2 linked regions of the Schizosaccharomyces pombe genome follow. The protein of the gene in region 1 purifies or fractionates together with the protein of each later gene. This does not show direct contact. Each region holds a gene or a part of one and is shown on either strand. Other genes may lie near its edges.

Region 1 (16,585 bases):
CTGTACAGATCGATTATTGAGAGCCGTGTTTAAATGAAGATTTACGGCTCACAGACTAAGGGCATTCCATGTTATTGTAGCTTCTAAAGGTCTACTGCTATGAAATGATTTTCTTAGTTTTAAAGTATTTACTTGTTATGTAGAGTATTAGTTCGACATGGAATTTTCAAGCAAGCTCAATTAAACTGGAGTGTTTATACAAGACAGCTGTTTCATTAATTAGAGAAATATGACTTTTACTATGCTGTAGAATGAAAATTCTCATCTGTTTTATATTTAGCGGAAGACATTTTGCTGATAGATATTCATTTAAATAGTTATGTCAGAGATACAAATTCAAGTGAATTGAAACTCATGTTGGAGTTTTAGATGTACTTTCTATAGGCAGGTCTATTCGAAGGATTAAGCATTCTAGCTCCACTAATACTCTAGGAGTACCAAATGGAAGGAAAACATAATCCGAAAAAAAGTTCAATGAGAGATGTCGAAGGGCTACTCAATCAATTTTTGAAGCCATCGGTGATTGGTGAAGTGAATACTTTTCTTTTCACTTGTAATTGACTGCTACAAAAAAATTGTTGGACAATCTAACCTTTTTTATTAAGAGTGTGGATAACGTACGAAATTTTTAATATTCATATGCATTTTTTTTATTAACTTATCTCTTTTTCATATTACTTCTTTTTTCTAAAATTGCTTGGCTTTTGAATGTTTATGTCACCATCAATCTCACTCACTAGTAAGATTTTCTAATATCTACCAAAATTTATGGGAATCTTGAAAAACTGACTTTTAAAATTTCCATTCTTCAATAAACACTTTTACTAAAGCATCAGTTCAGCTACCCTTGTAAATGCCCAACCCATCTCTTTTCCGTCTTTTGTTTACTTTTGGGAATGCGTTACTTATCTGAGTAGCATGTGCTTTTTGTGGTAAAATTGGTTCAATTTAATTGGTAAAAAAAATAAAAAAATAACAATGTCACTTGGTTGGGCCAGTATAGGTAACGTAAATTTGTTGAACCGGAAAACGGAATGGAAAACAAAGTATGAAGAACTGAGGCAGTTGCAGGTATTTGTTTTGCAAATGTTAATAAATGAATTTTTTAAAGACATACTTTCACGGAAGGTGGAAAATTGAGAATCCACCTTTCGCCATTGATCTTATGATGAGGACCAATCGTGAAAACTAGTAGTCTATAATCGATCAAAATAATTGCGCACACACGTATCGTACAGCAGATGCTTTGCACGATCGCACATAGTCGTGCGAAAAAATAAGAAGAATAAGAAGAGCTTTTTGTAAAAGTTAGGAGTTCAGAGGGCTCCAAGATTTCACATTTTGGATGTGCTTTGGGCATCCATGGGTCAATACGTTTGTTTGACGATTGAGTAGAATGTAACTTGTTTGTTTACTTGCAGTGATTAGTTTTTTTTTGTGACCTGCCTTTCTTCAGTTCCATCGGAACGGACTAGTAAAAAAAAAAAAAAAAGAGGATGGCAAGATGCCGGGAAGGGCTGGTTATGTCAAATTATACACATATGGGATTTAAAATTTAGAAATTATAATTTTTAGAATATTTTAAAAAATATTTTAAAATTCAAACTCAAATATTTATTGTGTACATGTGTTGATTTCCTTGTCTTCTCAGCGGAGAATGGATCTAACCGGAGCACACATGTTGAAAATTCACCGACCCAGCATTGACCATCCATTTGGAGTGGACCTATGGTAAGCAAAGCGTAATTATGCATTAAAACTAACTTTGGAATAGGCATTTGTTTGAGCAACTGAGCATCAAAACTATAGGATGGAATCCCTCTGAATTTGAGTACATCCCGGGTAAAACTCCCATGTCTCAGTGGTCGAGCGTAATTGTATCCATTACCGCTTACTATGTTATCATTTTGAGTGGTCGAGCGATCATGACAAATCGCAAACCTTTGAAACAACGTCGTCTTTTTCAACTTCACAACTTCATTTTGACTATCATCAGTGGAGCTTTGCTTGCTTTGTTGGTAGAAGAGGTTTTTCGCAACTACATGCGTAACGGTCTCTTCTACTGCGTTTGCGATTCTCGTCATTTTACGCAGAGATTGGTTACCTTGTACTACCTCAATTACTTGACCAAGTACTTGGAGTTGATGGATACGGTGTTCTTGTTTTTGAAGAAGAAACCCCTTGCCTTTCTCCATTGCTACCACCATGGTATTACGGCTCTCTTGTGCTTTACTCAACTTCTCGGTCGCACCTCCGTCCAGTGGGGTGTTATTGGCTTGAACTTGTACGTTCATGTTATCATGTACAGTTACTACTTCCTTGCTGCTTGCGGCCGTAGAGTTTGGTGGAAGCAATGGGTTACCCGTGTTCAAATCATTCAGTTCGTCCTTGATCTCATCCTCTGCTACTTTGGTACCTACTCCCACATTGCTTTCCGTTACTTCCCTTGGCTTCCCCATGTCGGTGATTGTTCTGGTTCTCTCTTTGCCGCCTTCTTTGGTTGCGGTGTTCTTTCGTCCTATTTATTCCTCTTCATTGGTTTTTACATTAATACCTACATCAAGCGCGGTGCCAAAAAAAATCAAAGGAAAGCCGCCGGTAAGGCAGATAACACCTCTGTTGCTGCCGCTGCTGGCTCTGAAGCTTTAGCCGCTACCACTGCTACTAATGCTTCTCCCTTTTCTGCTCGCTCAAGGAAACTCTAATGGAGAGGAATGTGTACGGCGTGCAGACCCTTGTTTAGCTTTCTTTTGTATTTTCAAACTTTCTTAAGCGTAGTCCAATTTCATGGTACCGTCGTCATCTTTTTCACAAGGAAAAAAACTCAAAAGACGATACTTTGGGATTGAAATTGGAAAATATCATTTTTTCCAGCCATCTAAAAGTTCCTTGCTTTTGGTTTTTTTTATTTTACTCTTATGCACGGCTCTTCTAGGGTCGTCATTTCTTCTTTCTTTTTTACTTTCAGTTTTTTTTCTTTAAAAATTTAGATGGCGGATTTATTTCTTTGCTTGAAACGGTGGGAATGCATGGGTTTCAGCGTATGTCTGCTTCTGTTTAATATTTCTCTAATTCCTGAGACATAAATTGCAATTGGTTTATGGGGTGCTTTTTATCTTAATTTAGTTATTGCAAGCATCGATTTGTTACCCGTATGTCTATGGTCTTAATAGTATTTAAGACATCCTTTTAAAGAAAAATAGAAAGCGGGTTAAAATAGTCGTTTGCTTCTTTATGTGCCTTCGTTCTTCATTTCCCTTTTCTTTTGTGTATATTGGGTGACATTTCGACATCTTCAAGTTTCTGCGTTCTCTCTTTCTATTTACCATTCGATAATTAGGGATGCGTCGCGTTTCGAGTTCTTTTCCTTTCTGCCAAATATTTCCATTCTTTTTAACATCTTTTGTCTAGTTCGTGTGGTTTGCGTCTAGTTCAAAGTAATAATTTCTTGTTTCTAAAACAACCCCAATCTACTTGAACAAAAGTTAGTAAAGTTTGGACGGATATTTCAAGCTCGATGGAACGCTCCTTTTTCTACGTGTTCCTTTTTTCCTAACTTTCTACAAAGTTTTCTCATATTCTTTTACTTGTGAGTTTGATAGGCATTTACCTTAATGTACATATTATTATCGTCTATCATGTATTAATTGCTCGCGTAAACTTTGGTTTGTTGTTTCAGTGGATCAGAATGAGTTGAATGGCATTTGAAGGATGATCATTATATAAATATAGATATATATACTTATGTATGTGCTTTCAACAACTATTTGTGCATGTATTGAACCGACTTTGTATGGTCGTTTTTGAAGTGTTTTAGTTTTAAATTCTTGCTTTTAGTCATTGTGGAGATATAAGATTTGCATTTTTGTGTTTGACAATTTGAATTGAAATGTAAGTATAAAACATTTATTATTGGATTGTACGTCCAGTTATTGATTTTCATTTTCAAAGCAGGCGCACAGCAAACTTAACTGTTTGTTCTTGAGTTGTTACCAATTTTCATTAAGATAATTTAGTAGATTTTTTAATAATGTCTAGTGATTGTCGTAATAATATTTTGCAGAATTTGGTGTATAGTAACTTTTGGGTCCATTGCTTTCTGTGCGTATCATACCTTCAAGTTGGTGATACCTTACTATAAGCCATCACACTTTGGTACCAAAAAGTTTGTTAATTTACCAGAATTCAAAGGATTGATGAAGGTTAACGACTTCTTTTATTAATTTTTTATCCAAAGCTAAGCAATTTTTGAAATTATTTGCAGTTAAATCTATATATTGAATCATTCGTAAACGAGTTTGGAGAACTCATTTTGGAAAAGAGCAAGCATACAGCATGAATCCATACAGACCATATGTCGTGGTTAACAATGTTGAGCCTACTTTTTCGATAACTCCAGAACCAACGTTTGAGACGCAACCGACCATAAGCAAGAGTGAGATTTTTGAGACACTCAGAAGTATTCTAGTGACCAAATATTTAACGACGTTTTTTGTACAGCCATTGGAAGTAGCAAAAACTGTCTGTCAAGTAGAAGAATATTTACCAAAACGAACTAAAATTGAGCGTGATGGGAAACAAACAAAGGAGCCTTATGATGAGGATATTCCCGATGGCACAGAACAGGAAGGTCTCAGTGATGATGAACACGAAATCTATGCTTACTTTGAAACACCTACCACAGAAAAGGCAGTAACAGAACAGCTAGCTGAGAAACTTTGCGTCGATGCGTCTGGCTATGTAACTGATCCTTCGAATCTCATCGAGAGAAGCTATACAATTCATTCGAAAAGATTTTCGATTAAAAGTATCATTAGTGAGCTATGGGAGAAAGAAGGAGCTAGGGGTTTATGGAAAGGTCATACAATCAGCTTTTTGCATAACTTACTTTATTCCGGCCTACAGTCCTGGCTTTCGGCAACATTATCTGGAGCTCTCGCAATAGCAGATCCAAACATTATTTCACCTATAGATTCTGTTCGGCCTCTTCTTTCCCTTTTCATCAAATCCATTACTTCTGCGATCTCTGCTCTTATTCTATCTCCCCTTGATATTGCCAGAACAAAAATAATTCTTTTCCCCATTTCCTCATCTTCCTATTTGTCTTCAGCTTCTGAAACTTCTGGCAATTCGCATAAAAAATTTAAACCTCTTACTATCAGACAATGCTTGAAAGCATTGCCTTTTTACTGCCCTTCATCGTTAATTTTACCCACAGTTTGTTATGTCAGCTTACCACCATTTGTTTCGAGTGTGCTTCCACTAACATTCCGCAACTTTTTGGGCTCATCTCCTACACTTGATGCAATGGTTGGCTTGGGCACTTCAGCCGTTCAATTTCTTCTCAAATGCCCTTTAGAAATGGTACTTCGAAGAGCACAAGCCCAGTATGAATGCAACCTTCCACCCCAAACTATCGTTCCCGTAGGCAAATACACTGGTATCGTCGGTACCATATGGTGTCTTTTAAGCGAAGAAGATCCGGGTAAATTTGGAATAGAAGGTTTGTATCGTGGATGGCGAGTGGGTATTTGGGGAATGTCGAGTACCTTAGCATTGAACTACATCTCCTCTAATTTGCGTGAAGAAGTTGAATTTTAGTATTCAGGTTTTGGGTCTGATTGTCTGTTTATTAGACAAAGTCAGAAGAGACGAAAGTTCACATGGTAAATTACGGAATTCTCAAAAAGGTTTTAGTTAGGTGATGTTTTGTAATTTGGAATTTTTTTTATTCCAAATTACTACACGAATAGTCATATTTGTAGTTGTAAGTTTGATTTATGTTTAATGTTTTCGTTTTTCTTTCTTACCGTATTCTCTAACGGAATAGTAGTAGCTACATAATTTATTAAAGGTAATAATACATTTTCTAGAAGCAAAAACGTAGTTATGTGAAAATACGTTGGTGTTTCCTTTAGCAAGGTTGCATAACGCCAGCATTCAATAAAAAGGACTTCAACGTCGCATTGAGATCTCTTACACGAGACTTCATAGTGTTATTCAAGTATAGCTGCTCGTTCAATTTATAAACAGTATAAAAAATGAGGCAACCCAAATCCTTACAATGCTTTAATTTTCTAATTTACAACACTGCACGGAAAGTTGAATCTCTAAAGACTTTATGCTTTTTTATTACTTTTTTATATAGTTTGAATTGCAATCAATAACAACTGGCGCCATCATTTTGCTATCTAACACGTTGAATTACGGGCCATGTCATGTCAAAAACCCTTCTTGCTTTTCAAAAAAAAAAAAAAGAAAAAAAAGGAATTAAGTAAACTTCTCAAGTAACAGGGATAAATAACATCCACAATTAAGTCAATAGTAAAAGATACCAAATATATAATTCCTTTCATATTTTAAAGTTCTAAGCTTAAATACGTTTTTGCTGAAGAATATCATAGTTCTTCCTCCTCCATAGTAGGCATATCGACAGGTTTGATCATACCAGGAACAGTCATAGCTTTCTCCAGTTGGGCTTTTTGTTGAGCAGCCAACTCTTGTTCTTTCTCCTCCAAGTAAAGTTCAGCGTTATCCCCGCCGAATTCTTTCAATTGAATTAAAAAGTCACGTAAAGCAAGTTTAAATTTGATGCTGTCCTGATTAAGAGCTAGCACTGTCTGTACAAATTCTTGGATTTGGATAGGTTGAAGATGGGGGAAAGCTGTGACTAGTAGATTCATGATATACTGTCTTAAAAATAATTGATTGTTCATTTCCTGGGGGAATTGAGAAGGATCGTAGAGAGGTACAGTAATCTGGTTTGATTCAACCAGATAGAAAAGCCGAGCCAAAATTAAGCTTTGAAGCTTAAAGCCAGATTTGTGATCAGAGTCAGTCAAAACATACAATATATCTTGTAGTAAGCTAATATAATAAGTTTGGAAAAATGCATTTGAAACATCAGGTCCCATACTCGCCATGTTATTAATAAGTTCAAGTAAGATGTTAAGTCCGGTTTCTTGAATGTCGCGACTAACATGCTTAAAGGACCATACAATACTATTGATCACTAGTTTGAATTGTGGTGCCGGGATGTTGAGCAAAGCGGGGAAACAATTCAAGTTAATGGCGCGTAAAAGTTGAAAAAATGCTGCACGATGTTCGGGGTATTCCGAAAAATCTTTACTAATCATTTCAAGGGTGCATCCAAAAACAGCATCAAGAACAAGAGGAATCTTATCAGTAAGGAGTTCGCTAAGTTGATTGACAATGGTGGTTATCAAATTAAGAACTTCGGCATCACGAGCGTCAGGAACATTTTGTAAATAATCAAGCAACACTGCTTCGAAAAGCGCAGGAATGAGAGTATTTCCGACCAACTCCAAATCTTCCGCTCGACTTATATAAGCATCTACTAATTTCAAAATTTCTTTTTTGATAGTTCGTAATCCCCTGACGTGGGGAGTTTTGGTAGCAATATTTCCTTGGGCAGCAACCACTTCTGATATTAAACCGCTAACAGCCTTGTAAAGACCAAGCATATCTACATAATTTTTAGCAATTTGAGGATAGAAACCGGAACCAATAGAAGTACATGCAGCAACGTTTGTCTTTAGAACATTTGCTAATATTTTAACGGTCTGAGGGTCCCCTAAAACTTGAGCGTTTTGTGCAGCCTGAGCGACAATATTTTCCCAGGCCTGATTGGGTAACGCCATAAGGTCAAAAATGAGACGTTCTTGAAGATGTTTTTGAGGTTGAGCAGAAATCATATAACCGCACGCCTCATAAAAAGTATGAGTCTGTTGAGGAGTTAAATCTTCAGTCGTCTTGGCCAAGTTACGAATAATTTCGTTGATAAACGGCTCCGTTTCTCCCAGTTGTTGAGCAACAAAATGGCGACGACATTTTTGAGCAATCTTAATGAATGTATCACAAGCCATATCCTGAACACCTTCATGATATTCGTGCATAAACTCAAATAGCTTATTGACGACGGTCTTGAGAAATTTCCAATGAGCTTTTAAAAAGCGAGGATATTGACCTACAACGTACATAATGTTAGAGGCAACAACAGCCTTATTATCTTTGCCACGTTTCATTTCACAAAGGCCCAATAAATCTTTAATCACGTTAACAAGAAAGCGCTTTTCCATTTCTTCATTCATAGCACCGGATATTGAGCCGATTGCCCAACAAAGAGTATTCAAATTTTGCCAAGACCATTCTGTACCAACAACAATACGTGCAAGTTTTTCAGTCATAACGATTTCAGTATCAACCACGTCCAAGTGAGTGAGGTACACAAGAACCTCACGCATAGATTTATAAAGGGTAATTGTATCCGTCTCTTTAACAAATTCACGAACAATTTCACCTTCGTCATTTTCGACGATGAGGACTTCTTCGGGCTTGACCATGTTTTCAATCATAACCAATCGAAGAGTTGAAAGTATATCTTTATAGATATGTTTCCTTAAAGGAAGATTGGCTAACATATTAGGATTAGAAGAAATGAGAGATGTAGGACTAGAAAGATTAAGTAATGGATTCATTTCAGACATGGGGATTTGCTGCATTTCTTCATAAAGCTGAGCTACTAATTTTGACCAATATTCCAGGCAGATCTTGAAAATTTCTCGCTCGTTAATTCGCGAGATATTAAGAAGGTAGGAATGAGCATTAAGAAGGACTTCTTGATTTTCAGGATTTTCTAATGGTCGAAGATGAGAGCTAAAGAAAGCGCAAAGGAAGAGAGCCAAATTTTGGATAAAGTCTTGCTCGTTTGTGCTACTTTCTTCATAAGCCTCACGAAAATCAGTTTGTAAAGGAAGCATAGAATTAACAGAGGTCATCACAAGGTTAAACATTGTAACAAATTTATCGTTGTACTGAGGTTGAGAAGTAAGACTAGCTATTTCGGTAAGACATTCAATGGTAACGTTTCTAAAATCAGGAACATTTAGGAATCGATTTGTAATTAACTCAACAATGTTTGTTTCAAATATATAGCCAAGGGGTATCCAATTCAAAAATCGGAGAAGTGTTCCCAAGGTAGCCTTGATTAGGCTAGGTTTTTGCGCACGTTCGAGAATTTGTGAGCATAGTTGAAAAATCTCGGCGAATTCGCCACACATTTGGTTTTTTAAATTTTTGGTTTTGAGCTGAGTCATTTGCTCAGCTGAGTAATCAAAAATTTCTTCACTCAGAAGACGAAGGACTATCATGTTATTTTCACAAAGTGAAAGGTTTGTTTTACTGGCTTGGACAATTTCCGGGATGAAGTTGGGCCAATTATGAGGCCATTCTTGTTTAAGAATCTGAACGAGAGTGAGGTCCAATTTATTAAGAAAAGTTTTTTGTTGTTGCAGGACAGTTTCGTCTGACGAGTTCTTTATCATAACAGCAACAATATAATTGCGAATTCCCAATCGCTGCTCCTTGGGAAGCATTTTCCAACGAGTGGTGATAAGCTTGTCAAGGACGGAAAGAGCGATATATTTAGTTTGGGGATATTCTGATTTTTCCAAGATGGAGTAAGCCTGCGACCATGCATCTGGATGTGCCTGAAATTGGGTCAGGACTTGTTGAGCCTGTTGTTGCTCTGCACCGACACCTTGGTAAAAGGTTTGGACAACACGATCCAAAAGGGCAACGTCTAATTCGCGATCGAATGCCAGGATGCCCTCCATATTTACAAATCAAAAAGCAAAAAATGTAAATTGATGGTTGGCAACGTATTGAACAAATGTCTTAAGTAAAAAGAAAAGGATAATTACCTCAACCTTATGCGATTGTATATGTATAAAGGACTTCAGCAATCAAGTTAGAAATTTGAAAAAAAAAATAAAAAAAAGTAGAAGAAAAATTAATTTTATCGAATAGAAACAAAATAATATAAATTTTTAATCTCCTACTTGCTGATTAATTACTCCTCCCTTGCAAAAATAATAGAGAAAAAACAATAATTAACTCAAACAAGAGATCGAAGAACAGGAAATCGAAAGATAACAAGATCCTTCCTAAAAGAAGACCAAGGAAAATAACACGTATCTACACGAGCGTTCAAAGTGCTTACCTCCTTACTATAAATAAAAACCAAATAAATATTCCAAATTCTCTTGTTTATAACGAAATTCCTCGTCCCAAGAGATGCTTCACGCGATAGAAATTTGTCTTGTACTCAATGGAAACAAGAGAATGAAAGAATGTATACAGTTAAAGGCTACTGCCTAACGTCCCAGGGTAGAAATGCAAAAGAACAAGTGTTGTGTTGGAGGTAAAAGGTGTGGCCGCAAGGCTGGCAAAGAAACACGAAGAAGAATAGCAAGCATGCAGCGTATCCAATCGTTTTGCGTTATCTATTTTAAGGAAATTTAACAACGTGATTATAGGCAGAAATTGATGGGAATGAAGTAAACATAAAATGGAACGAGAATGATGGCGATAAAACTGAGTGTATCAGCAGATTGCAATTTTTTAAAAAAATGGTATTAGTTTTGAAACAAAATTTACTTCCTCCGGTAAGACGTTCGGTCGTTTCCGTGAATGGGAGAAATGCGGTAAGAATTTGATCGTAACGTCCGCGTTTAAACCAGAAATAAATGTGTCGTACGTGGATTTTTCTGTTTGTTTGTTTTGAAGTATTTAGCAAAGACAGGTCATTTGAAAAACATCAATTTATTTTTTTAAATTTTTTTATTATGAATTATTAGGTATTTTATGGTTTAATTATCAATTTACAAGTCAACGAGTAAATCAAAACAGAAGGAAAGTTTATCATTCAGTAAATTAAAAATTGTTATGAATTTAAAAAAATTGAATTACAGCTAGAATCATGTTTCCAAATTATTTTAACCAAGTTTATGGAACATCGGCACGAAATAATATACTTATTACTAAAGATTTGCCATTTCATTGTGCTTTAGTAATTCGCCTTTTTTGCTTTAACTCCTATAGCCACACAACAAAGATGTTGCTTATGTAAATAAAGGCGACTTTCCGTATGAAATGCTTCGCGGTTACAGCCACAATTCTATATGGAAATAGAAAAGAATGAAAATTGAATTAAACTGATCATGTTCGTTATTAACTCGCAGTTACCCGACATTTAGTGTGTTAAATAAAGAAAAGGGAAGGAAAAAAAAATCATTAAACCAAATATTGACCTTTGGAGTTGGCATGGCTCTCAAGGTATAAAAAATCCAATGCATTTTTTTTAACTAATTTATACGATTTTAGTCAGGTTGTGTACATATACTCTAATAAACCCAGACAATTTACAGTACACGCAACTATTTTTATAGATATATACCTCTATTTAATTAGTTTGTACAATTAAGCGGCTATGCCCGAGTGGTCTAAGGGGGCAGATTTAAGAGGCTTCTGCCTTGATCCCTGCTGTTGTAAAACGCGAGAGTTCGAACCTCTCTGGCCGCATTATATTTTACATTTTTAAATGTAAAATTAACGTGTTTTTGATTTACAGTTGAACTAAATTTTTTTCAAATTTGTTGAACATTTTGCTTTTGTTTATTCTTTTTTTTTCTTCTTTTTCATTATTCTTATCTGCAACATTTCCTTATCAAGCACGAAGAAAATTTGAATTGATAGGCGCTTTCATCCGACCAGCACTGTCCTAAATATCGCATTTGTTTGCCAAAGCCCGTATATAAATTATGTATTTCGGTGACTTTTTGTAATACCGGTTTCTGCTTTTCTGTGATATGTTGAAGTAATAACATTTGTAGAAGTATTTATATAGACCATTTCTTACTTAATTCCCTGTAACAATTGTTGGATTCAATTCTGTGTTTTCCAATTACTCTGTTCTCACGGCTAATATTAATTTTATTACACATATATTCAGCAAAAAACAAAAACAAAACAAAATTAAATTAAGCATAGCATCAAGTGTGTGCCAAAAAATCGTCGTTTTCTATTTATTTTTTACTATTTTGTTTTGATATTCTATAAAGGTCAATTGCCAAGATACTCCCAGCTCTTCGTCTTTGCTTGCACATTATTCAAAACTCTGTGCATTCTATTGTTTGTATTTCAGTTAGTATTGTTATTGCTATCGATTTTCCCATCTAATTTTCAAAACAAATTAACACTGATTCTATCGGCCCTATTTACCCACCACTGCATATTTTTAAAATTCCTTAAATTCTTTTTCCTGGCTACTAATACGCCTAATAAATATTAAAGATAAAGAATTCCCTTTTAGATATTAGTTCTTGCTTTCTTTTTTTATACAAAATTTCTGTTTTTTTTTTCGAAACTCTTCTGTAACAACAATGACTGCTACATCTTTTCTTCACCAGGCAAAACAGCAACCCCATCATACTGAACCTTACATTAAAGCGCTTGAGGCTCGTGAATACATCATTGAACAAGTCCCCGAAGAGCTTTCCAAGCCCAAAGTTGCCATCATTTGCGGTAGCGGTTTGGGCACATTAGCCTCTGGATTGTCGGCTCCAGTTTATGAAGTTCCTTATGAAGATATTCCTCACTTTCATGTTTCCCATGTTCCAGGTCACGCATCCAAATTGTACTTTGCCTTTTTGGGCGAGAAACGCGTTCCCACTATGATTTTGGCTGGTCGTTACCACTCTTATGAGGGATATCCTATAGAAGCTACCACGTTTCCTGTTCGTCTTATGAAAGTCATGGGCGTTGAAGTCATGGTTGTTACCAACGCAGCTGGCGGCTTGAATCAAGGTTTCAAAGTTGGTGATTTGATGATTCTTAAAGATCACATCAATTTTCCTGGCCTCGCGGGCATGAACCCTCTCAGAGGCCCTAATGCACACGAATTTGGTGTACGTTTCCCCCCATTATCGGATGCTTATGATTTAGAATTACGAAAATTGGTTTACGATGCTGCCAAGGCTCACAAGGTTAGCCGTACAATTCACGAAGGTTGTTATGCATTTGTATCTGGTCCGTGTTTTGAGACTCGCGCTGAAAGTCGAATGCTTGCTCTTATGGGAGCTGATTGTGTCGGCATGTCTACGGTTCCCGAAGTAGTCGTTGCGCGTCATTGTGGTATTCGTGTTCTTGCCATTTCTTTGGTTACCAACAACGTTGTTGTTGAAGAGAGCCCCTCTGCCAAAGACTTAGTGGAGGTTGATTCGAATGTCATGTCTAAGGGTGCTGCAAATCACTTGGAGGTTTTGGAAGTTGGTATCGCTGCCGCGGCCGATGTTCGTACCATGGTGGAGACGATTGTCAATTTTATTTAATCACTCCTCTTTGACAATCTTTTTTATCCAGAATAAAAATTTCCTTTATCTGTTATACATCCTTTTAAGCTATTTTATTTATCTAACGTAGGATATATATCCTAGTCATTTCGCTTATTTTGATGTCTGTAAATTAGATGTTTTGTTGCCATTCAATATCTTTTCCAAAATATCCTTTTACTCATCAATAACCGTTTCTTGCTTTCTTTAAACGAACTCACTAGACAATATTTCCTAAATGTCGTTTGTGTTATTTTCCAAACACCAATTAGGAAATATTTGTTTTTAGTATACAAAGTTCCCTGGTCACCTCTAGACTTATTTTTTTATAGTTAATGATACATTTCGCTTCAAATTTCTTAAATTATTAATTTAGAGTCATATTGCCTTAAAACTTTTTGATAATAAACCTGTTGCTTTCTTATTGTAACGATATCCTTCTACCACTATCGCAATACCCTTTCAAAAAAATAACGCGGTCCAAAAACATTTCGCTAATCAAATTTATGGTAGTTTACCAATCTCTCTTGGATCCGTAATTGTTTCATCTTTTTCCACCATATTATTGAAAGCAAGTTTTCTTCGAATTGCTCGCAAAATTCAGTCCTTTTTTTACATTTTATGTATTAAGATTTGGTCTTGCATTAAGAAGATTAAAAGACCAATTAATATAACCTGCATTCGAAGGAATTGGTTTTCTTGGGTATAAAACACTCTATGAATGGAAAATATTCGCTTTGAAGTCCAATTGACAATCCTTCACGTGGAAGGATTATGGAAGAATGGGCTTTTACGATCTTTAAAGCCTTACCTGCTTATTAGTGTCGATGATGACCAGTTTATCAAGACGAATGTTGCTAGTGGCACACTTCGTCTTTCATGGGGCTTTACTCAAAAATTGTAAGCTATAATTACTTTTAAAAATTCCCTTTGTTTCTAATGATTTATTTCTTTTAGAACTGTGTCTCCTCAAAGCATAATACTTTTACAATTGTTCGACGAAAAACAAAAAAATGAAACATCTGATGGATTTGTCGGTTTGGGGGCAGCAGTGGTAAATTCGTTCCTGCCTTTTAATAACCCAAAGGATGGTAAGTTTTTTTTTTTTGCTATAAGCTAGTTTTTCTATGATTTATTATGCTTGCCAGTTTGTTTACTTACATGAACTAATTCTTTTTTCTAAAAGACTACAAAACACGTATTACTTTAAGATCTCCATCAGGATCTTATCGAGGCTCCGTAGTTTGTTTATTTAAACGGTCTAAGTTTTTACCAGAAGAACTTCCTGCTGATAAATCGCAAATTTGTACCGACATTATTGATGATGCTAGTGGATGCGCTTGGGAAACAAGAATTGATGAGTTTGGGCATGTTTATTATTTAAAATCTCCTCAGCTATCGGTGATATCAGCCATTTCTCATGAGAAGCTTGAAAATTTGACTCCTAAACAGCTGAAAGAAGTTTTTTCTCAGTTTCTTTTTAATAATCAATCGAAATCTTCTTTAAAAATTAATCTGGAATACAAAGTAATCAAACATTTATTGGAACACTACCCTTTGGCTTTGTCTGTTCGCCAGCAAGTGGCCGTCGAAAAGGGACCGCTTCCAGCCGGGTGGGAGATGCGTTTAAGTGAAGACTATCATGTTTATTTTGTGGATCATTCTACTAAAACGACTACATGGAGTGATCCCAGAGATAATGTTGTGGCTTCTGACAGCGTGTCTGAAAATACAGATTCAATCCAACAAATCAACGATGAATATCAAAGAAAAATCGCTTACATGTATGACCGGCCTGAAATGGCCGTTAATGATGCTCAACTTCAGCTAAAGGTTAGCAGAGCCACTACATTTGAAGACGCGTACGATATAATATCAAAGTTATCCGTTAGCGATATGAAAAAGAAGCTCCTAATTCGATTCCGTAATGAAGACGGTTTGGATTATGGAGGGGTTTCTAGGGAGTTCTTTTATATTTTGTCTCATGCAATATTCAATCCTGGGTATTCCTTGTTTGAATATGCTACAGACGATAACTATGGTCTTCAAATTAGCCCCTTATCTTCTGTGAATCCAGATTTTCGTTCCTACTTTCGGTTTGTTGGCAGAGTTATGGGATTGGCTATATATCATCGTCGATATTTGGATGTTCAATTTGTATTACCTTTTTATAAACGGATCCTCCAAAAGCCATTGTGCCTCGAGGACGTAAAGGATGTTGATGAAGTTTATTATGAAAGCTTGAAATGGATTAAGAACAATGATGTTGATGAATCTCTGTGCCTAAACTTTAGCGTTGAGGAAAACCGATTTGGTGAATCTGTGACGGTCGATTTAATTCCAAATGGCCGTAATATTGCAGTCAATAATCAGAATAAAATGAATTATCTTAAAGCTCTTACGGAGCATAAACTTGTCACCAGTACTGAAGAGCAATTTAATGCTTTGAAAGGTGGATTGAATGAATTAATACCTGATTCGGTTTTGCAAATATTTAATGAAAACGAACTTGATACATTACTTAACGGAAAAAGGGATATCGACGTTCAAGATTGGAAGCGTTTTACAGACTATAGGTCTTATACTGAGACTGATGACATTGTAATTTGGTTTTGGGAGCTACTGAGTGAGTGGTCTCCGGAAAAAAAGGCGAAGCTTCTGCAATTTGCTACTGGTACCTCCAGGCTTCCTTTATCCGGGTTCAAGGACATGCATGGTAGTGATGGCCCACGAAAGTTTACAATCGAGAAAGTAGGGCATATCTCTCAGCTTCCAAAAGCTCATACTTGGTATGTTAAAATTTTTTAAGTACTGTTACTAATTTGAACAGCTTCAATCGTTTAGATATTCCGCCTTATAATTCCAAAGAAGAACTAGAACAAAAACTCACAATTGCTATTCAAGAAACTGCAGGATTTGGTACGGAGTAAAGGGGGTGTGTATTAATGGGGACGTGGTGTAGAGGAAATGTACAATTTTACTTAATTATTTCTTTGAATGCTTTTGCGAATATTTGTAAAATAGTTTTTTATTAAACGAACGTTGTTTATGTAATCAATAATATGTTTTGCTAAACTAATAAGTTACACAATAAAGAATTAAACTAGATCAAACAAAGTGTGCTTTTATCTTTTTTTTCTCAAGGGAATCATTGATCTTGAATTGCCAGATGCTTGTTTTTCGGAGATGTCAAAGTCAACGTTAGTGTCTGTCAAACTACAATCTCCCGATTGGCCATTTTCCAAAATCTCTGATAATTTTCGTTTTGTAGATCGTAGATTAGAGGTGGCTACAGTTTTCGTAGTCTCCAAAAATGAGACGAACTGTGAGGCATCTGCTACCTGTTCCTGCAAACTGTTGTCGTCTACATCGTTTGTAGGCTCGTTAGCGTTTTC
Region 2 (14,754 bases), on another chromosome or scaffold:
AATGATTTTCTTTTTCCTTATCATAAGAGTTAACTTCTGATATAAATTTAGTCCAAACTTCATCAGGAATGTTAAGGGGAGACTATGCTAACGTTAGTAAACAAGACAGTATCTTTTAGCAGTGTTATTTTGTACTCAAACCCTTTATTTAATAAATATTTTACCTTTTTGTTTATGTCATTTAGCTTAACATCCTTTAACTTTTGTTCGTATTCACGTATTTTCAGATCTAATTCTTTCTGTGCCAACTTCCAAGATGCCTCATTTGTTGAGCATCTAGCTTGTATATTATTGTTCAGGAGATTTTTAGCAATATTAATGTTATTAGGGTTATCTTTATGATAATGTAAACGTCGGCAAGGACCACAAAATCTTCTAACAGCTAAAAGTGTTAAAGAGCCAGAACATTTGTTTAGCATAAGGTACAGTAGCTTCTGAAATCTCAAAAATTAAAGATGTTTGATCTTTTTTCCTGATAAAGTAGTCAATAATATATAGATATTAATACCTGGATTGAAACGTATATTTTGTGGATGGAAAGTTAAGTGGGTATTAAACGCTTTGATAATGATCTCGTATTTTCATTCCTCAAAAGAAATTTAATTGCTAATATTTTAAACTTTTACTTCTGGTTATACTACTATAAGAATGGATTATACAAACTTAAGGAAGAGGTGTGGAAAAATTTTACTCACAATGAGCTTAATATCTAATAAAATTGTAACTGATTTAAGAGTGTAACCGTATACTGGGCTATTAGATAACAAAATGCAATCGTTATATATATTAAGCCTTACTCAGATTTAAATGCTTACTACATCTTTACTTTCAAAGCCACATACATGAAAGTGGAAACGCCGACATAAGTGCAGCCGATGTGATATTCAAACCACATAAAAAAGGAAAGTAGTACATTATATAAGCAGGTTTAAAGCTGTTTTTATTAAACTAAAACCTACTCTGAATAAAGTGAGATTTAAACTGTTGACACAATTTAAAATAAATAGTCAGTTGTACAAAAAAGCAACCAAATAGTGACCAAAAGTCCCACTTGCTAAATCTAGTGAATAAATAAAACAATGAAGACATATTCAATAGAAATTGATTTGATGTCGAAGAACAGGAATACTTTTTAAAACAAAACAAAAACAAGAAGACCATTATTTTTACTCATAGCTTTTGAAACCAAACAAAAAAACGAGGGACAAATAAATAAACAAAGTGGGTATTTAATTGCAAACCAAAGGCTTGCAAATATCGAAAAACACAGGGAAATACAGAGGTAAGGCTTATGATCAACAATATCGGGATTTACATTTGTAGTAAAGCACAGATTGAGCTTGAAAAATGTAACTTCCTAAGATAACAGGACAATGTCATCATTCAAATAAGCAAACATATTATTTTTGGAAAAATCTGAAGCTCGCACAATCCTAACGTTTTCTTCGAGGACAACGCCTCCGTGGCTTTGGCGAACGTCAAGGACTCGGGTTTGAATTTCATTAAGTAAGGCTTGACTTCGTGATCGTTCCACTGGGGAAACAATAATTGGGTTTGTTATTTCAATGTTTCTAGCACGATATAATTGTACTTTGATGACTAGCATGTATTGTACAGAGTAAAGATCAGAGGTGGTCGTGAATCCAGTGATATTTGCATCTTCAAAATCAATGTCGGGGAAAGGTTTAGAAAGGCTTTTCGATAAACCTTCCGATGTAAGTTTCATATCATCCAAATCTTCTTCGTAACGTAATACTTTCTTTTTACGAACTATTGGGCTTGAAGAAGAGGGATGTATGAACGTGATGTATTCAACCAAGGAAAGAGAAAGTTGCTGTACTCGTATTTTAGAACCATTATTAGGCATGATGGAAACGAAGACGGAGACGAGATCCGAAGGTCCAATACACAGTTTGGGTATTGATACCTCTACTACAACACGACCATCGCTACTCACTTGCCGAATATTAGTAGGGGAATTATACATCCCCCAAGAAGATAGATTATCATACCTGCTGAGTGACACTGGTACAGTGGTAGTAATATCCGGTACCCCTAGTAAACTCATGTGAGCACGTAGTTCATATTTCGTGGAGCATATTGTACCAGACCGATTCAATTCAAAAGTCGATGGAATTTCTGAATTTTCGGGAAACGGGATTTCAAAGGGAAGGTCCATTGACCATACCCTATGAGTAGCGTAAGGATCTGAAGAAGAAGAGAGTATAGGAGTTTGGTCACCAAAAGGAGTGATAGATGTGTCATTAGAGGAAGATGTGGTGGATACTGATCTAAACGGAGTGTAAGGAGGTTGATATACCGAAGATCCAGAGGCATTAGGAAGATGAGGTGGAGGGATAGGTGGAGTAGTACGGTTATGAGTATGAACAGAAGGATTATCCTGATCAGACGCATAAGAATCTACTATCCAATCGCTAGTAAGGGAGGGTGGAGGTGATTTGATAGACAAATCGCTGATAGAATAATTATTATCATTAGGAGGTATGTTATTTTCAGGATGCTCGGAATGAAGTGGAAACAAAACCTGCCTTGCCAGACACTTATTATCTGATAAGTGATTACTTATACCCAAGGATGGTATTACCACTGATTCAATTTTCCATAATTCTAACGTTATTTGAACCAAAGCCAAAGGTTGGTGAATTTCTTTACTTCGAACTTGGACGATACCAACCAACCTTGGAGCTGAAGTTGGTATCCCATTAAATCCAGCTTGGAAATCCAAATGTGGTAACGGACGTATCTCCAAAGGAGAAAATTGCCGTATTAGCGTACACGGGGATGTCATGCTCTTACATTTAGTGAGTTCCTCTGGCTTGGTGCTGGTTATGGGAAGTTGAATCTACCAAATGGTAGACAGGTTGGTTCAGTGCAGCAATGTCAGATCTAGATAGCTAAATAAAATCTTTTAAGCACTCGCTTAAACACTGCTAAGTGACTTTTTATAGCAATGAAATTAATAATATTTTATTATATAAAAATCTAATTTTAGGCCAAAAAATGTACTTTTGTTTCCATTCCATAGAATTAAAATCAAAAGCCTACAATTGATAGCCAAGCATCTAAAGCTAGTATCTGTTGTAAAAAAGTTCCATTTTGATTACAATAGTAAAAACTAAAATGACTTTAATAGCCTAATTTTGAAATTGGTATTTTCAACTTAAAATTCACTTACGAAAGCCTAAAATATGTTTATTCTTACAGCAGAAGGCTTTTTTTTTGAATTTTTGAATTTTTGAAACCATAACACACGATTGATCGCAACATACATATACGAAATATAGAAGAGAGACTGAATTCAAACGAAAACAATATAGCAAGATATCAGATTATTGAGCAGCAGAAGAAAGGGAAATAAAGCAAGTAAATACTATTTTACTAAAAATCAAACGAATCTCTAAAAGAACAGATATTTCACGCATAGTTAACAGACAATGCATAACAAAAAATTCAAAATCGAGAAAAACAAGAATCAAGAGCAACTGGTAATGCTAATTTTTGATAGTTATATGAGCCGTAGTATGATAAAAAACCCCGGCGATAATTGAGGAAATTCATTGCTGATGTACGACTCTTTTCTATCTAGGAAATAATGATTGTTTGAAGGATAACCTGAATATAGGGCTTTCTGTTCATTCAAAGATCCCTTCAGGAAGTGTTAAATGGTTTGTATAAAACTAACTCACATTTTCCGATTTATCTTTTCATTTTCAGGGCATATATCAGAACTTAAAACAATTTACTAGTAGCGATACGCTACCACTTACTTATTAAACGCTTAAAAGAGTAACACAGTGTACTGTCATGAATGTATATTTTATAAAAGCAATATGATATTTAATTTACATTAATATACTTGTAAGCTTCTCACGGCTAAAAGTAGTGATAGCCCACATTGAAGTAGGATTTTAGTGTAATGAAATCAAACACAGTAGGCCCTAAAGATAAACGGACACTTACATGTTAAGCAACATAATTTAAAATCTTACAAGCAAAGCTAGCGGCTCGAAAGCCAAACATTGTAATATAAACACAAAAAGTAGTTTGTTTACAGTAAATACCGCAATACTCGTATAACGAGGTATTTTCACAACGTAAGCAAGAACGCGCTCATCCTTCCAGGTTGTTGTGTGTCACAGCCTCTCGCGATTCACCCTTTACAATTCACTCGTGAATGATAGGAAAACGCAATGCGTCAAAAAGGACGCGTCAGGATGATTGTATTACATATGAAGAGTATCAAAGGAAACGTAAAAAGACATTTTTGAACACGTTTGTTAATATTTGTTCTCGTACAGTTACTTATGCAAAACTTTTTTTGACAAAAACTCCCATTTCTGAATTGGATCGCATCGCTGGCGAGGCGATACCATCTAATAGTAATAGTACAAATTCAAAACTAGAGCCTTCTACTAAAGCCCCTGAATCTCGGTTTTCTCACATAAATTCCAAGACTGAACGTGGTTACGTGACGGTCGAATCTGATATGTCTTCTCACAATACTCTTGACAGAAATAGTAAACCTACCGTTTCTCATTCATATACAAATTCTAGTAAGGATGAAAAATTTTTGGATCCCATTGCTCTTCAAAATCTATTTTCCCCTGCCTCTGACACGCATTCTCAAAACATCCATGACGAAGCATTATCTCCATCAAGCTTTCGTGTGTCTCGTTCGAGATACTTCCCCCGACCTCATCGGTCTTCCAAAAATTTATCTGTTAGTAATCGGTTACAGCTTGCGGTTTTTAAGGAAACAACTTCATCGACATTATCCCACGGTAATTCCGTTGAGGCTGACGAAATAAACTCTTTTAATCCTACACCTTTCTCTTCTTCTCCTCTGCACTTTACGAACTCCTCTCCAAATCCAAACTCTGACATTGTTACACCGGACAAGCAGCTAGATGTTGTTAGCGAACACGCCAGATATAAACACCTTCCTTTTACGGCTACGTTAAGAAAGAAAAGTCCTCATGATTCAACGTCTCGGAAAGCCTCTTTTAGGTTCGTTCAATCTGATCAGCAACCAGCGCGGAATATCGTTACTTCTGATATCCAAAATGAAAAATCATTACTGTTGCTAATTCGAGATTTGAAAGAAAAGCAAACAGAATCTTTTCAAGATTGGAACGAAGTTGACTTTTTACAATTAAAAGGTTTGGAAATATCTCCACCCCCCACTCGCCCCAAGTTCATTCCGGAACTTGAGTTTCCTGATAATGCTCGAAAGCGTGCACTGAAATATTTAAACCAAAGCAATTCTGTTTCCTCTTCTGAACCCATCATCACCAAATTTAATATTCCAATCACGCTTAAAGACTTGCATACTCTGCGGAATAGACAATGGTTAAATGACGAGGTAATTAATTTTTACATGAATTTGATTTCGGAACGCTCTAAAATTGATTCATCCTTACCTCGGGTACATGGGTTTAATACTTTTTTTTATACATCTTTGCAGCGCCGTGGATACGCGGGTGTTCGAAGATGGGCCAAAAAGGCACGCGTTAATATTGCAGATATGGATGCTGTATTTATACCAGTACATCTGGATGTCCACTGGTGTATGGCTGTTATTAACAAATCGAAGAAACGATTTGAATACTGGGACTCGCTGGCCGGAAGCCCTGGTAAAGTTTTTGATTTGTTGCGCGACTATTATATTGCAGAAACAAAAGGTGCCGTCGACGTGTCAGATTGGGAAAATTTTATGGATGACAATTCTCCAAGACAACGAAATGGACATGATTGTGGAGTTTTTGCTTGTAAAACTGCTGAATGTGTATCTAGAAATGTTCCTGTTCAGTTTAGTCAAAATGATATGCCTGAACTACGAATCAAAATGGCAGCTAGTATTATTGATGCACAAATCTATTAAATATGTGCTATAAACTTTTTGTCTATATACTTATCGTTTTTTATATTAATTTCTTTCTCGTTCAATACATTTTATTTCATATTCAGCGTTTTCAAAAAGGACATAATTTACTTAAATCTATATTAGAGCGTATGCATTTTTTAAGTAGCAGGGAATACTCTAATTAATAAATCTGAATCCAGGAATCTCAGCAAATATAGCTTTTGAAAAAAAAAATACCCGCATATCTTATAAACAAACTTAAGCGCTGAGCTGACGAGCGTCGAGCCCCATTGCATTTAAAAACAAATTAACATTGCTGATGCGCACAACAGCAATTTCAGAAGGTGCCCGTTTGCTAGTAATGATGTTATCAAGTACTCTGTCCCTATTTTTTACATATTTGTTAGTACAAAAACTCGACTAGACATATTTTAACGTACCTAGTTTCAGAAACCAATGTAAAATGTTGTTCAGAGCTAGCAGCAGTAGCACAAGCTGCTAAGAATTCCCATGGATAAGATTCATCAGCATAAGCTCGAGCGTTAGGTGGTGGGAATACCGTCGAGAAATGACCTTTTACGCGATTAAACATAACATTGAATGTATTTTCCCTAAATAGTTAGATGCTGTAAATACATGTATAACGTACCATTCTTCTTTTTCATTTTGATTTACAGTGCCAGATTGCTTTAAAATTTCTGCGCGACTAATGAATAGAGTAAGGAACGACAAACCAATCTTCGTCTGTATTAAATAAACAGCATTAGTGCGATTGAGAAGTTGAGAAAATAAGTTATTTATAGTTTCCAAATCAAGTTCATTAACAATAGTGAGCAATGGAGGGATGATGAACTGCGTGAAAGAACTCATTTCGGAAACAACGTCCAAAGGCAGCTCACCGTTAACGTCAAATGTTCCCCTAAGGACTATATCAAGAGAATCAAAATTGTAAACTACGACCTTTAAAATCGAAATTTGTTGCTCTTTGGACAAATGTGGGAACAAGCGAGGTAGCAGCCTCATTCCTTTGGGGTGAGAAATTATAGAAATGAATGGAGGCCTAGTCTTAGAAGATGCTTCCAATGATTCATTTATGTATAATGCCTTCCAAATGGACTCCAATTTCTCGCTTAAAGTAGTTTTCCATGTATCTATTTGCTCCTGATCGGTAGTTTCTAGCGTTGAGGCTTTACGGAGGGCTTGCTCAAAGTCAAGCAACAAGTCATAAACTTTCTCAATAGCGTGCAATACATCCTTCTTCGTAGAAAATCCAGAAAAATTGTTTAATGATGAATTTGAAGATGCTGGTTCGGTAGGACGTTTAACATTCAACAATTGTCGTGGTGTGCGAACAGTATTAACAGCAATTTTACCAAGAGCACCTTCTAAAGACAACTGAGTTGCCTTAGGGCGCTCTTTGGCAGAAGAAACCAAACGCTGAAGTTGCTGTTGTAATTTCTGCATAGGATTTTCGGAGCGACGACCACGACGGCGATTATTGCTAGGTCCTAGATAAGTCTGTATAAAATGACTGGCTTCTTCCTCGGAAGGCTTGCGGCCTCGAATAATTGAGTAAACGCGATAATAAAAATCATCAGATTCGGGATCCTCCGACATCAATTGCGATATTTGAATTCTCGCAATAAACGATTTATCACTGCGTGTCATTAACCCAGCACATTGAGCCATGAGCATATGATCACGCTCTAACTTTTGACGTTTTTCATCAAGGTTCTGGTTTTGAATTAATTGTTCCTGCTGGAAAAGATTAACAAGGGAAGCAGGAGGAGCAACACTTGGGTTGTACATGCCGTTTTGAGGATATGGCATTTGAGGTACAAGGGAAGGTTGCATAACAGGATTGGGTATAGCTTGCGAAGGATGTACCATATTAGGAGCAGCTAATCCAGCAAAATCAGTTGTAGTGCTAGGGATGTTTGGTTGACCAAAAGTAACATTACCAATACTAGCCGCACTAATCGCCGGGTCCAATGAAGAGATGTTTTCTCGAGTTACTTGAGCAGCCATTTCGGATGGAACAATGGGAATAGCGGGTTGAGAAGGTGGTTTTGGAGCGGTCATTGAGTTCAATAACTGTTCCTCCAACTCCTGCAAGCTAAAAACCTTCTCAGATGGTTGGGCACCCAAACGATCTTGAAGAGAGGCTACCTCAGGTGGAATAATAGCCGGCTTTTCTGGAACAATATTTTCCCAAATCGAAGCCATAGGCTGCAAATCGGAAAGCTTATTGATCGCAGTAGACGCAGGTTCCCGTGAAGGAAATTGTGAAGCACCATTAAGTCTACTAACTTGAGGTAACTCTGAAGAAGCTGGTTTGACAGGTTTAGCGAAAATATTTTGTTGATTAATTTGGTACTGCTCATCTTCCAATTGTGCAGATGCTTGAGCGGTAGTACCTGAAAAATCAAAATCACGTCCTAGAATTGTGAGAAAAAATATTAAAATATTAAATACTAATAGCTTGCAATATCCCAGATATGACAGCCGAGAATGATTACAGAATCACAAGCACAAAGGTACATACCTATACTTCCAGCGCTAACACCAAAAGTCTCGTCGTTTAGTTCATCTCCGGCTTCATTTAATTGATTACCCAAATCGTCGTAGGTCTCCTCAAAGTCAATGCTAAATATACTTGTGAGCTTAAAGTATCATATTTACATTAATATTAACGACTTACCCATCCTCTTCTAACTGCCCTTCGTTAGGAAACATATTTTCCTTTGGAAGGGTAGTATTAAACCCAAAAAATGACATTTTATGGGTTTATGGTAATGAGAAGTTGGTGGTAGCTAGGTGGGCGGCACTGCATACAACAATACTCATGACAGTAGATTGGGTTGGTTCGACGCAGACTGATTCATGGCGTTTTATATATATTTTTACTTTGCGTTCTTTTTTTATATCTGAATTTTAAAGTTGTTATTTGGTTTGCTATACCAGTAAATCTATCCCTATTTTATTTCACATCAATCTTCAAGACTAGCTATTAAAACCTATCACGTATAGATGTATATCATAAATATGAATTTAAATTTATCTCTTTTTGAAAGACTGAAATGTATCGAAATTTATGCATGAACATACATAAGTTGCTTGCTCAAGCAAGCTACATCAATCTGGCAATGCAGTATAGAAAAAAAGAAATATCTACTAAATTTAACTACTTTACATCATAAATTCAGTGACACTCAAATTGGTAAAAATTAATTTTAAATTATCGTAACATGTAGAGATAAAGGAAATTATTTGGAAGACGATGAATCATTCCAGATCAATTGATCAAATGCCTCCTGTTCGTGAGAAATAGGTTCATCCAACTGTTCAGAGCCTAGATTAGAAGTTCGGGAAGGAAATGCTTCAGAATTTTCTTGTCCACTAAAAGCACTATCTGTGGATTTAACACTCGAGTCTTCTTCGTAAAATGGAAAAGAATTGTTACCGGTATTTCGATTACGGTTACGAATAGCTTCCCATGCTGACGCTGGCTTTGATCGATCTTCAAAGCCATTGTCTTTAGAGTACATGGCGTCCTCTTTCTCCGTACTCTGTGAATTCGTAAAGGGATCTTGACTAGAAGAGGCACCAGTATTCGGCATACTTCCAGGTAATTGATATTTTGAGTTTTTTGGAGGGAATTCAGAAGATGAAGAAGGAAATCTGCCTTGTCGCATCGTTGTTCTTTGTCGAATAAGGGAGTCTTGTATTTTGCGAAGTATTTCAAAGCCATCATCTCTTTGACGTATAGCCGACAAATTGTATGCCAGAGTAGTAATCTGAGCAACCTATTCATAATTTGTAAGCTTGAGCTTAGTATTACTTAAAACTTACCCCATTTCCAGCAAGACCTCCTATAATTGATGTTGCATACAAGCGGATTGGAGTAACCTTTTTGTTACGAGCTAAAAAATAAGAAAGTTATTTTCAATTGCTTGTTCGAAATCTCATACCTAAGTATAATGGGAGAGAAAACCCGACTAGCATCCCAAAAATCGTATTTCTTTTGACACGGTATTTTGCATGATTTAGAAATTCCTTTTGGTCATCACTGAAATGGTTTTGAGGATCATTTAACATTCGTTCCCAAAAAAAATCCATGATAATAAACGTTGGAAGCGATTCCTGAGGCTACACAATAATGTCAAGAATATGAAACGTGCTTATACGGGTTATGTTAGCGAAATAAATGTAATTAAATTATTTGCGGACTGTACAATTTAACCCAATATATAAAAATTTGAGGCCTTTCTAATGTAAAAATACTACTACTAAAAGGTAATAGTACTCATCACTTGTTGCCTTATGGATAGTTTGGATACTGATGTAAGAGGATGTGAATAAGGAGAATCTCTAGGGATTAGGACCATCTAAATTTCCCAGCTACTACAGTGATACTTGGCATGAATAAGAAATACGTATCTGAATAAAAATTTGACACACAAGATTGTTCTGTTGAAATTTCTTATGAAACTGATAGACTGAATTTTTTTTGGCTGGTAAGCACTTGTGATGAAATATGCAACTTTTTCGAACTACGTTTTACATTCCATCTTTCAATGAAACAGACCTTGGTGGCATCAATTCGTGGTATACGATTGTTTTGAATTTTAATATTGCAAGCATATATGTTCAACAGGAATTTCCCAGTTGTTAAATAAGTCTATATCGTATAATTCTTTGTCATTAACCGTATTTATTCATTTTGAACTAATTTAGCACAGAATTCTATCTCGTAAATTAAACAAGCGCCACTGCATTTTACACAGCTAACGAAAAATACAAGAAGGCAATTGAGAAATAGAGAAATAGATGCAATACAGACTTGGTCTTTTTTTTTAAAAAGTTTTGCCAATTTAGACGGATTTTGTATCTAATATGTAGGAACTACTAGTAGTAGTTACAGCTTATTCATTAGTTAATAATGTCCAGATATCGCTTCTACAAAGGAATGAAATGTTGATAAAATTAGTAAAGAAATACAACGATATAATGGTATTTAACACATCTGGCTTATTGGAATTCGTTAATAAAAATAACGAACGCCAATGAAGTGAAATATGCAAGAGATTTTTTATTACGAGTCAATTAAATATACGCTGTCCTAATCAATTGACACACAAATACCTGAAAACTCGCATTTGGTTGTTACTTTGCCTGCATTGGAAGGATATATTTTAAAAAACCTTGTAGTAAAGAAGAATTGGAACTTTTGATGCAAGATTTACTATTCGGTAGTCACTGGATATCGTTGCTCCTTGGATTTGTTTAGCAATCGATTAATCAGACTGCTTCTCACCTATAGTTTGTATTTTCTTTGATCAATTGAAAAACTACGATTTCCAAGAAAATGTCAAAACGATCCTTAGACCCTAGTGATGATTTTAAGGGTCAAAAACGCTTAGCGATTGATCCAGAATCAACTGCCCTCGAACAAGATCGCCAAATGTTACAACAATTATCAGAACAAAATTCTGAACTCGAGCCTCAAAATGTTGCACCAAATGCAGAAATTCCTTTAGGGTTTGATCTTTCCGGAATTCAATTTAATATGACGCCGGACTTTTATTTACGCATGAATCAAGGCATGGATTACGCTTTCAACCAACCTAATCCTATTGCTACACCTCAGCAACTTCTTCGTACATCTCTTATTCCTACTCTTGGTAACCTTAGTAACATAATTTTGTCAATTCTTGGGAAGCCAGTACAAGAGGCATCTGCCATTGTCACTAATCCAGCCTCCGAAATGGGTATGGCCTTTACCAAAGTAATGAATATGTTTCGTATGGTAAAGGACATTTATACTGAAGAATCTTTTATTTATTCCTCTGCCATTGGTATGAGGACGCCGAGTCAAAGAAGTACGACTAGACGCGCAAATCTTGCTATCTTTCTGGCAGCTGTCTATGGAGCGCTACAAATTGGATTTTTTCATTTGAATGAAAATTTTCTGGAGGTTTTTGCTCCGGACGAATCTAATATCCTCACTAATCAGGGCACTCTTTATATGGAACTCAAAACCCAAGCATATATTTCGGCTATGGCTCAGGCAGAACGTCCCAAGGGAGACATATTAAACGATCTTTTTCCCTCTGACATGGCCCATCGATTTCTTATCCGACGAAATGCTAAGCTGGATGACAAACTTACTTATGTTGAAAAGCAAATCATAGAGAAATGTACGGCTAGAAAAGAAAGATTGGCAAACTTCTCCCCACAGGAAGCTTTAAATGAAGTATATCCATGGGGGAAATTTTTAAGCGAGATTGCTTGTTACATCCATAACAATTACTCGTCTATTTCGGCCATTCCAATTCCTGCTAACTCATTCAAACGACGATCCAAGAAGAACGGATTGAGGTTTAAGGCTGGCGAAGCCGAATCATCCCCTTCAGAATCTGGTTCAGACCTGACCGATAGTCTCGCATTTGGTATACCATCTTCAACTTTTGACGGCTCCTCGGAAACACAAAATGTATCCAGTGTCGTTCTTTATGATCAGGTTCGACATATGACAAATAATAACCTAAATAACAAGCGTACGAGGCGCGTAGCCAATCGTCGATCTTGGACAAAAGAGGAAGAGGAAGCATTGCTTGATGGTCTTGATTTAGTAAAAGGTCCCCGGTGGAGCCAAATTTTGGAGCTTTATGGTCCTGGAGGCAAAAAGAGTGAAGTTTTGAAATATCGCAATCAAGTTCAGTTGAAAGATAAGGCTCGCAATATGAAACTATTTTTTCTCAAAAGTGGTCAGGTGGTCCCCGCAGCATTACAATGTGTTACAGGCGATCTTCGGCGAGATTAAGTAGTATCAGGAGTTTATTTCATTCTTGATTAAGTTTGCGATTTTTTTTTAAATACTAAAACGATTAAGCGTGAGGCATTTTATGTATAAATTATAATTATTATTAATCTATGGGTTTTTTGGTGCTAATACTCGGAGGCTATTCATTACAATTGAACATTCCCGTGTATCTTTATTTACAATTTCGGAGGATGACCTGGCAATAGCTTGTTCCACAATATGCGTAACTCGCTGAAAATCGCTTCGGAATACCCGCAAGAGTATTGGATCACGGCGATCAAGCATTTGCATTTTGCTGCTGATAGAAATTGCCAGCTCTTTGAAAAAATAGATACAAATAGTTGCACCATCAAGGATAAAATTTGGTTGCATTTGAAAATATTCTAATAAATTTGGGTAGTCTGGATTACAAATATTAGCCTTTTGAAGTGACCTTTCCCAAAAGACGCATTGTGCACCAATCTTTGAAATTTGGTACCACCCGTCTTCAAATTTGGACCATATAGTAGAATTTGCCGCTGAAGGATCTGTACTGTTATGTAGGAGTCTTCGTGTAGTGGGGGACAGTTGGAAAATCGAGTCGAATTGTATAATGGCCTTCTGTATACGAGAACTTAAAAGACGAGTTAAGTCCTGTTCTAACAAATATTTGTCTAACATATATAAAACAGAGCAAGCATTTGTAAAACCATTAGAGTTCACACTGAAAGAAAGTTGATCTTCTTGTGATAATAGATAGCTGGATGTTTCTTTTATAATTCTCGATCGATTGGTTATATTAAGTTTTAAGAGTAAAGAAACGGACGATTGTCTTTTCTACAATAATTAGCCAAGAAACAGAAAATATATTTCATACCATTAATGGAAACCGGCTTAATAATTGATCAGACTCTTGTAATAGTAAAGATGCTTGATAATAGCGTGAAAGTCTTGAATTTGTTAGCATACCAAAATCATTGAGCAAAACAATAAGCATACTTTTCATTTTCATTAATCGATCCCTGGAAAAGGGGAAATAACTTTGCTTGTATGCCAAAAAACTCCCCAAGCCAATACAAAGTCATGTATGTTGAATGCAAATTTACAATTGCCTCATGAAGGGGACCCAAATTTTCAGATGGAATGACTACCAGCGAACGAATTCTTTCATAAACCAACATCAATTGTTCTAGTTTTCCCTCGATATCTTGCAAATATGACTGAGCATTCAAAGAACTAGATACATTTTTCGTCAACGTGGTTTCCTCATGCACAATCAAATCGGTAATTTGCCGCTCTACTTCTTTGAGTGCATACCCCAACCTCTTTCTGGCGACTTCTTTGTCTTCGTTAACATCGGAGTCAGCATGAACAGAGATTAACACTCGTTCAGCCTGCGCCTTTGGATCGAAATCTGATTTTTTGTAATCTGAAAAATCATATCGAAACTCCATAACAGGAATTTTAAGCGCTTTAAACGAAATTTTTACAAGCTATTTCATAGATTTTAATGATACTTAACTTTAGTTTATTTGACGATCAATCGTAAAACGCAGAATCGATACCAAATCTTACAACGAATGTTTTGAACAAGTAAAATCCGCAATTGAACAGTGTATTCTAGCACTTCTATTCGAAACACGATAACACTACAACTTTATCCTGCAAGTATACGCTTACTTCGTCTGGTGCAACTAATGTAGTATATGAGAGCGTATACCTTAGACACTTTGACCGACTATTGTAAGTAACATGCTACTCATTCATATTCTAAAGAACAAAGAAAGAGATTTTCAAATAGAAGATTGAAAAACTTATCAATTTGAACGTTGAATTTTATCGAACCACGAAGGCTTTTAAAATTCCAACTGAAATCCGCGGCTCTAAGAGTTAGTATGGTTTCAACATACTCCTCAAGTAAACATTCGTCAGGCAGTTACAGTTTTCAAACAAAGTGACTAAAAATGCAGTAAATGTATATATAAACTACTAAAATGTAATACGAATTCATATCTTTGCTCTCAAATAAAGCAAATTTAAATTTATTGGAGTTAACGAAGAGATT

Evidence for each region.
Region 2: the proteins of crm1 (region 1) and pdc2 purify together in Schizosaccharomyces pombe (affinity purification with western blotting, with the first as the bait; one study listed by BioGRID). This does not show direct contact.

The regions. Positions count from the first base shown.
Region 1 is NC_003424.3:2,797,558-2,814,142, reverse strand, and holds crm1 (karyopherin/importin beta family nuclear export signal receptor Crm1), read right to left. Parts: upstream 10,220-16,585; 5' UTR 10,022-10,219; intron 9,756-10,021; 5' UTR 9,636-9,755; coding exon 6,399-9,635; 3' UTR 5,890-6,398; downstream 1-5,889. Other genes in the region: SPOM_SPAC1B2.06 (uncharacterized protein), read right to left, coding at 1,106-1,360; elo2 (putative GNS1/SUR4 family protein), read left to right, coding at 1,679-1,731, 1,775-2,705; transport protein Ugo1, read left to right, coding at 4,336-5,601; SPOM_SPAC1805.16C (purine nucleoside phosphorylase), read left to right, coding at 12,243-13,190; HECT-type ubiquitin-protein ligase E3 Pub2, read left to right, coding at 13,912-14,090, 14,148-14,281, 14,377-15,979, 16,021-16,120; SPOM_SPAC1805.14 (uncharacterized protein), read right to left, coding at 16,316-16,585.
Region 2 is NC_003423.3:2,362,922-2,377,675, forward strand, and holds pdc2 (topoisomerase II-associated deadenylation-dependent mRNA-decapping factor), read right to left. Parts: upstream 8,693-14,754; 5' UTR 8,663-8,692; coding exon 8,586-8,662; exon of another isoform or gene 8,531-8,585; coding exon 8,430-8,530; exon of another isoform or gene 8,323-8,429; coding exon 6,534-8,322; intron 6,496-6,533; coding exon 6,325-6,495; intron 6,273-6,324; exon of another isoform or gene 6,270-6,272; coding exon 6,143-6,269; 3' UTR 5,914-6,142; downstream 1-5,913. Other genes in the region: PPR repeat-containing protein Ppr3, read right to left, coding at 1-82, 165-419; arrestin-related substrate adaptor for RhoGEF, Art1, read right to left, coding at 1,358-2,809; SUMO deconjugating enzyme Ulp1, read left to right, coding at 4,196-5,902; SPOM_SPBC19G7.18C (uncharacterized protein), read right to left, coding at 9,151-9,690, 9,737-9,807, 9,856-10,003; tbf1 (DNA-binding factor Trf1), read left to right, coding at 11,253-12,710; COG complex subunit Cog5, read right to left, coding at 12,819-13,526, 13,567-13,639, 13,689-14,143. UniProt on the Schizosaccharomyces pombe protein: Activator of decapping that functions as a general and active mechanism of translational repression and required for P-body formation. Stabilizes the 3' terminus of mRNAs and modulates the rates of mRNA-decapping that occur following deadenylation.